2 linked regions of the Caenorhabditis elegans genome follow. The protein of the gene in region 2 interacts with the protein of the main gene of each other region in a pairwise test. Each region holds a gene or a part of one and is shown on either strand. Other genes may lie near its edges.

The links.
Region 1: the proteins of slx-1 (region 2) and him-18 interact in a two-hybrid assay, tested with the Caenorhabditis elegans proteins (3 studies listed by BioGRID).

Annotation. Positions count from the first base shown.
Region 1 is NC_003281.10:4,712,821-4,716,749, forward strand, and holds the start of him-18 (SAP domain-containing protein), read right to left. Parts: upstream 2,369-3,929; 5' UTR 2,358-2,368; coding exon 2,299-2,357; intron 2,225-2,298; coding exon 2,169-2,224; intron 2,118-2,168; coding exon 1,997-2,117; intron 1,953-1,996; coding exon 1,860-1,952; intron 1,813-1,859; coding exon 1,479-1,812; intron 1,434-1,478; coding exon 371-1,433; intron 279-370; coding exon 1-278. Other genes in the region: emb-5 (Suppressor of Ty 6 homolog), read right to left, coding at 2,767-2,957, 3,010-3,829, 3,882-3,929.
Region 2 is NC_003279.8:5,180,894-5,184,822, reverse strand, and holds the start of slx-1 (Structure-specific endonuclease subunit SLX1 homolog), read right to left. Parts: upstream 2,088-3,929; coding exon 1,975-2,087; intron 1,930-1,974; coding exon 1,551-1,929; intron 236-1,550; coding exon 57-235; intron 1-56. Other genes in the region: npp-6 (NUP160 middle TPR domain-containing protein), read right to left, coding at 2,365-2,700, 2,752-3,055, 3,103-3,249, 3,295-3,643, 3,686-3,820, 3,866-3,929. UniProt on the Caenorhabditis elegans protein: Catalytic subunit of a heterodimeric structure-specific endonuclease that resolves DNA secondary structures generated during DNA repair and recombination.

The sequences.
Region 1 (3,929 bases), on a different chromosome or scaffold from region 2:
CAAGGATACAGGTTGGAGTGAGAGAATGTGCTCATGTAAAACTGTATTCTGATCACTTCGAAGCCATGTTAAAAATGCCAATTTCAATGCACTCAAGTCATGTTTGCCACTGGTACTGGAAGCTGACATATCATCATCATCTTCTTCATCGTCTCCAACGTCATCACCGCAAATTTTTCCAACTTCTCGCTCGTCATTTGATATATTCAATGTTTTATCACCATCATTATCTTCATCCAGATCATCGGAAACATTGGATACATTTTTGGAAGTTTCATCTGAAACTATTATATAATATTAATATCCTTCTAAAGCAACTAGATAAAATGTCTAGCAATTTTTCAATTTAATTGAAAATGAATAAACTCACCAGAAATAGCATTCTTGACTCCTTGCTTTTTAGGAGAAACTTTCTTCGGCGATGCAATCATTCTTTCACTTAATGTCTTCGTCTTGATTGTTTTCCTTCCACCCTTTCCTCCTTGTTCCGAAACCTTTTCTAAACTTGCAGATCTGACAAGCGGACGAATTGTAGGTGTTCCTGAGCAAATTTCTGGATGTAATGTGATATATGCTTTCTTCAGAATCTGAATCATCGCTTTCTTTCCTTTTGGCCGCATCCCGATCTCTTTCATTCGTTCTTTTAATTCTGCTTCTTCCATTGAATCGAATGCAGGCATTGGAGTTATATCATTGGTCTTCAGAATTTTGACATGGGATCCGAAGACAGCTTTTGAGGTAATGTTGCGGATTGGAGTAATGACATTGGATGTAGTTGGAAGATTTGTAGACGGTTGATTGCTCCATTCATCGAATGAATCCATTGTCACATTAGTAGTTGGTTTCTGTGGAGTAGAGTGTACTGATTCATGTGGTTTATCTTCCATGATTTGTTCTGCATCATCTTCCACATTTTCGACAGCTTTTCCGAATCCAAAGAAAGGATCATCAGATGTGAAGTAGTTCACAGATTTATCAAGTTCGATTGGGTCGCTATGAGACGCAGTTGGCTCTATTTCTACAGGATCAGCTACTACAGAATCTATCTTAGCTTCAGGCTCTACCACGTCCTCAACATCATCGACTTTCTCAAGATCTTCCTCCTTATCATTTTTCACAATCAAGTCTAATCCTACAGGTCCATACTTCGAAGCCAAATCCCTCACACCATCCTTATCATCATCATTCCATTCGATATTTGCAGTGAATACAAATGAAATCCATGCTTTCACAACTTCTTTTGTGTGCTCGACTTGAATATTTTCAGATTTAGGGTTCAGTCTGATAAGTGATGTCCGATGTTTCAAGATCATTGTCTGACATTTTACACGATGACCATCACTGCAGGTAATGAAAATGTGAGTTGGTAATTGTTCAGAATTGTCATCAAGAACTTTTTGCATGTCAGATGAGAGTTGTTCGTATCGGGAAATCTGAAAAAGTGATTTTTTTTAAATTATAATAAACTAGAAAATTACTTTTTCAATCATTTTCTTCATTTGAAACGCATGCTCAGTCACTCCTTCCTCTCGTTTCTTTTGATTTTTGATAGATTTACTGTGAAACTCGTCAATAAATCTTGAATGAAGTGTCGTAAGAACCTCACATTGACACTTTTTCGGTGCCAATTCCACAACTGCAAACGATCGAGGACGCTTCCGTTTTCGGTTTTCCTCATCATCCTCAGCGATTCGTGCAAATTTCACGTTGTTCTTCGATAGCTCCCATGATTTTGGAAGTTCCTGTGGTTTTTCGAAAGGTTTTTCAAATAGATGAGTCTTTGAAGATGGCTTCTCATAAACTTGATCATCTCTGAAATATGTTTTTGCATCACAGAATATCCTTCTACTGAAACTAACTTTTCTATGGTTTCGGTGAGTGTTTTCGATTTTCTTGTAGTTTCCTTCTCCTTCTCTGATTGTTTCGCTTTGCAAACTTTTACATGAATATCTCTAAAATTTGAACAGTGAGAAGAAACACAAATAATATTTCAAACCTTCTGGAATTCATCCAAAGAGTCATATCTCGTGCACACGTCGCACATTTTACAGGTTTCTTAGCCGGTGCTTCTTCATCATCGTCGCTCAGTGTGATCTCTTCGAAAGGAGAAGGAACATCTCAAAAAGTAAATTAATTGATTTAATTGGGAAATTTGATTTGAAACTTACTTTTGTCAGATTCATTTCTTACAATACTCTGCACACTTCCAAGTTTTTGAGGACGCCTAGAAAAAAAGACAGATATTTTTTAATTTACGTTTAGGTTAAATAGATACGACAGAAACAAAAACCTTACTACCTTGGCGCGGATGAGATCGAGTTTTGGGACAGTGCCTTTTTTAGTGATGAATCATTCATATGAGTAGAATCTAGAATACTTTTTTTTCTTCTAAAACTGAATTTGCAATTCTTATTCCAATATCAATTGTGATCAACGCATTCTACGTTTTTTCGTGATGATTTAGCAGTGATTCTGATTACGAAATTTATTGAGTAAACAACAAAAATGGTACTTGAATACAGAAAGAGCTCATGAACAGTATGACTGCTTGAATAAATATTTTGATAGATATATAAAAATGTTTGAAAAGTAAAAATCGAGGATGAACGGATTACCGAAATCAAAACAAATTATGTGGGATTAAGACAGATGGATGTTGTATTCTATAAATTAAAATTAGATCATCGTTGATAGACTGGAACAAAGGAAACAGGATTGAATGTGTCTGATAAGGTGTGGGTAATAAAGAGAATAAGATCAGGGTTTTCAGTGATAGCCGACGAATTGAGGAGGATAGTATGGAGCTGCTGGAGGAGCACCAACTCGATACTGTGGAGCCGGGATCGCAGATCGCCTTAACTCGATGGGAGGCTCGTGGAAATGGCGTTTGAACCAAGCCATCATTCGATCTAGCGTATCAAAGTTTTGATGTCGGAATCGGACTCCATGTGGGACAACTGTAAACAAAAATAGTTGAAAACTTTGTTCGTATCTCTTTTCGAAACTCACTTTTGAAATATTCATGTCGAATCCGTTCTGTATTATCGAACATATAAGAAATACAGAATTGGCATGGCTGTCTGTAGGATGCACTGAATACGTACGGAGATCGTCCCAGCTCTCGTTTCTTCTCTCGTACAAATTGCTCGACTGCTTCTGTTTCTTCGCATGTTCCATTTGGGAAGAAGTACTTGTGAGTTGTTATCTCGTGAGAGATCTGTATCATCGGTTGAACGAATCGAGCAATCAACTCATCAAGATCCTCGAAATCTTCTCCGCCGACTGAGAGTTGCCGACCAATGGAGAAAACTTGATCCTTTGCGGATTCTTTGACAAAGAAATTGTGATAGACGCGGTCACAAATCTTCCATGTCACAGAAAGACCAGAATCTTTATTAGCCGATGGACGAATAATACACTCAGACCAATCCATTTCATCCAACATTTTCGTAGCAGCTTCGTAGGATACATTATGGAAATTTGGATGCGCAATTACTCGCTTCACACGTGTATTTGCTTCTGTCTTCTTTTTCGATTCACTCTTCATCAGTTCCAAATCAGCTTGGTATTGATGCTCATCCCAGTACTGATCACGTTGAGATAAATCATCTTCTTTCAGATCCGAACTCTTACAACTTAGGAATAGTGAGAATCTCTCCTTGTCCAACTTGAGAACTTTGAAGTAATATGGCTGATTTATCTTGACTCGGGTTAATGGATTGTCTACGTGACTTGATGAGATGTTCTTGTTCGGACAGAATCCAGTCATTCCATTGTCAAATCTGACTCGAATTCCGACTGGTGTTCCAGGACATCCACCTTGACGAGACTGAAATAATTTAACATTGGTTAACGAATAGTATTAGTTGAGAAAAACTTACGTCACCGAGCATATGTTCTTGAATTCCACCAGGAGCCGAAGATGTGAA
Region 2 (3,929 bases):
AAGTTCTGAATTCACTTTATACGTATTTTTCGAAAGGATCTACTTTTCAAACATACCACGGTCCTCGACTATCCGTTTTCTTTGCACCACCCTTATCTCTTCCACCATTGTGCTGCATAATTCGTCGATTCGGATCTACCGTATAGCCTATGTAACATCGATTTTTGTAACACGGACGGTCGCTACGACTGATGAGACAATAAACTCCGTAAAACTCATTTTGAACTTCCTCGATCTCAAATTGGGGGTTTTTGAAATATATTTATTTGAAATACTTGGGGAAGAACACTTTTTACACGGCCATGTGTCGATTTACGCAGCTTGTATAATCCTTGCGGAGAAGTCTTCAATACTTGGTTTTGGATTACTTTATAATTTTTATAGTGTTTTAATTAAGATAAATCGATAAGAATTGGCGAAAATGGTCCAAAACTGTAAAACTATTTTCCGCGAGGAGTAAACGCTCTTCGTAAATGTACAAACGTTCGCATTACGGTAATTATTTTATTTTATTATAAAAACGGGTGGTAAATTGAAATATTAAACTTTGGGGGGTTTTTTTTCTTTTATTTTATTTGTTTTTTTTTCGGCTTTTCGGACAATGGTTTTAAATACAAAATTTAAAAAATATTATTCTTCTGGGAAAAATTCGATTTTTCGGTTTTTAACCTAGATGATAAATTTTGCGATTTTTATACAATACCCAAACTCGAACAGACCAATTGTCGTTCAGTTCAAAAATTGTGCACTTTTAACTAAAACGTTTATAATATAACCGACTAATTTCAAAACAGTTGTCTTCATTTGTCAAAAACGAATAATATATTGAACGATTTTGTATCTTCCCAAAAGTCAGAGTGTAGATGATGGAACCAATTCTGTCTGCCAGGTTTTACAACCATCGAGTACATCTACATCTTCACATGTTCTATTAATATGATTGTAAACAACCTTTAAAAACAAAGAGATTATTCAAATACATTCCCAAAAGACAGAATATAGAGGGCAACAGGCAATGCATATCGCTCTTTCTTATTTTTTACAACCATTCAGTAAGAAACAACACCTATTGTGGAGAACATTCAACCAAACAAATTCGAAACAAGATGATGTATTTACACATTTGCCTAGATTAATTAAAACTTGAACAGAATTTGTTTAAATCTATATAAATTTGGTTTGCGTCGAAAAATCGAAAAATACAAAATCTGGTTTGGAGCTGGCTGAACAGTTTATCTGAAAAGAAGTACTGTAGTTTAATCAACTGCGAAAAGTACTCTTTACAGTACTCCTTAAAGGCGCACATTTCTTAAATCGGTCGTGTCAAGACCGGGTACTGTATTTTTAAAGCAAAAATCTCTGAATTTCGCATTGGGGCAATTTTTTTATTTTAAGTTTAAGTAATTTTTAAGCAAAACCGAACCATCGAAAATATTCCATTTCAAAAAACTTTTAAAAATTTCTGAAAACACACCAAGATCGGTCTTTTTCAACATCAATTCAATACGCTTGACGCTTTCGAAAAAAGTTCAATTTTTCACGAAAATCACCTTTTCCTTGCGTTTCTTCTTTTCAGGACTGAGAAGTGCTCGCAAATTCAGATTATCCTCAATTATTTTGTCTTCATCCTTGGAACAACCTGCTCCTCCGTCACCTCCTTCTTCGTCACTACTCAAATCATGAAAATTATATTCCTTTTGAAGAAAACTGGAGCACGCTTGATTTGTTGGAGGTTGATTGATTGTTTCAACAATCGGTGTGAAACAGCTCATCGATACTGATCGACGACGAACGGATTTTGGAGTTTTCGAGTCAAATTTGCCGGACAGAGCAGGTGTAGATGGAATTGTGAGGGGAACTGTGTCTGTATCTTCTGGAATTATTTCTTGAGTTGTGTCCTGCGACATATTGGAGGCACCGAATGAGAACCTACAAAAAATATTTAATTCCAAATTTTTATTCAATTAAAAAAACCTAATTTTCTTATCTCCACTAAAGCTCCTAGGAATTCCTTCAATTGTTCTTCTTTTTGATGGTGGTGGTCCAGAATCATCATCAGAATCAGACGACAATATGAATGTCTCCATCTAAATTTTATATTTTGTCTATAACGGTTTTAAGCGGCAAAGTATGCGGTAACGGATTATCCTTTTTTCTCTCGGAAATAATAATTTTCATTGAAAATTTCATTCATCTCGTCGTAACCGGATAATATGAGAATGAGAATAAAACAGTAATAACAATCAGCGAAAATGAATATAACACAAAAGATAATCCTTAATTGAAAAAACACCTGTTGAAAATGTGAGATGAAAAGTGGAGAGGAATCAATTTTAAGAAATACAATGGGATAGAAAATATAAATTATTTATCAAAGAATCTACTGCTCATTTTTTGAGCTTGCTCGAAGTCAGCCACTTTTCGGAAATAGATCAACATTTTCTGATCAGCACTTTTTCTCAAATTTGCAACTTCTGCAGCTACTACTTGGTCTTCTGGAGATTTTAGACTCATTTTCCGGATATAATCGGCACTCCTGATCATCAATTCATCAATGATTCCGTATGGAAGCCAGGTTCTTGCATTTGACTGGGAAGCTTGTAGAGTTTCTTGTTCGACAATATCACTGAGAACTTGAAGAGCAATTGAATAACTTTCATAATCCACGAGACATCTAAGGTAATCGTTAGCGTCATTATTCTGAAATAATTGAAAAATATTTTAAAGCTATTCTCTATTCAGCTAACAAACCTCAAAAACACTGTGCAACCAGACAGGAACATTCAGCTTAAAACTAAGAAACGCTTCAGTGGATCCTCGAAGTGGTCTAGAATCTCCAGGCCATTCTGCTTGAGCCGCATCAACCAACCCACGAACCACCGACCAATGTTCTTCAGCGGTAGCGACGGCAGCACAGTGCCTGCGGTTAAGACGAACCCATCCGGCTTGATGAGTTGCTGCCATTTCGATGTTGAGGTCATCCCGAAGAGCATCAATCATTATTGCTTCACGTGTCATGGTAAAGAATAGCCTGTGGGAATCCAGATTGAATTGCCTGAATATATTTATGTTTTATCATCCTCTATCTTTTATAAAAATCACCTTGCAATGTCGAATGCTTCATCAAAATGTTGATTATCAACAAGCAATGAAAATAATTCGTTAAGATCAGTCGGTGGAACTCCCTTGAATTGATCAGAAGAAAGAAGACCAACTCGTGCGGAACATAAGACCAATTCATCACGAATACTGAAAGAAAACAATGAACTCTATGAACAAACTCTAAAGACGTACTCTTTTTCACTGAGAACCAGCAACTTTCTACGTTTGAACAATGGAATACTTCCTCCCTTCATATCATCTTCTGTATCATCAGTATCCATGTCATCCGATCCAAGTGCATATGCCATTTGCCTTGCCTTCAGTGCTACCAAATCTACACCTGTTCCTGACGAGCTGGTTCCATTCGAATTATCAGGTGAAGAATTGTTGCCAGTACCACTTCCACTATCTTTGTTTCCGCTCGGCAATTTGCCATTTTCACCAGACGAATCAGATTCGGTGATCAGCTCATCCTCGTCATCTGAAGGTTCAGGAAATACTAAATTCGTGTCAGTAGCGTCATCGTAGATAGCTCGATCGTCTGAAAAACAAATTTGAGAATAATTTTCAGAACATTAAAAACCGTCTGGCTCCATTCCAAGAACTGATTGCAGGTTGAGCACGACAGCAAGGCAGTCACGTTTTCTGCGGAGAAGTTCGGGGGTCATGCACGTTGTTGACTCGATGTGACGTGCATATTCGTACATTGCACAAGCTCCTGTAAATAAATTAAGTGCGCTTTATTTAAAACTTGGAGAATTACCTTTTCTAAAGTCTTTTCTAGCGACGTAAAACGCAAAGAGTAACTCGAAATAGTGCTTCTTCTC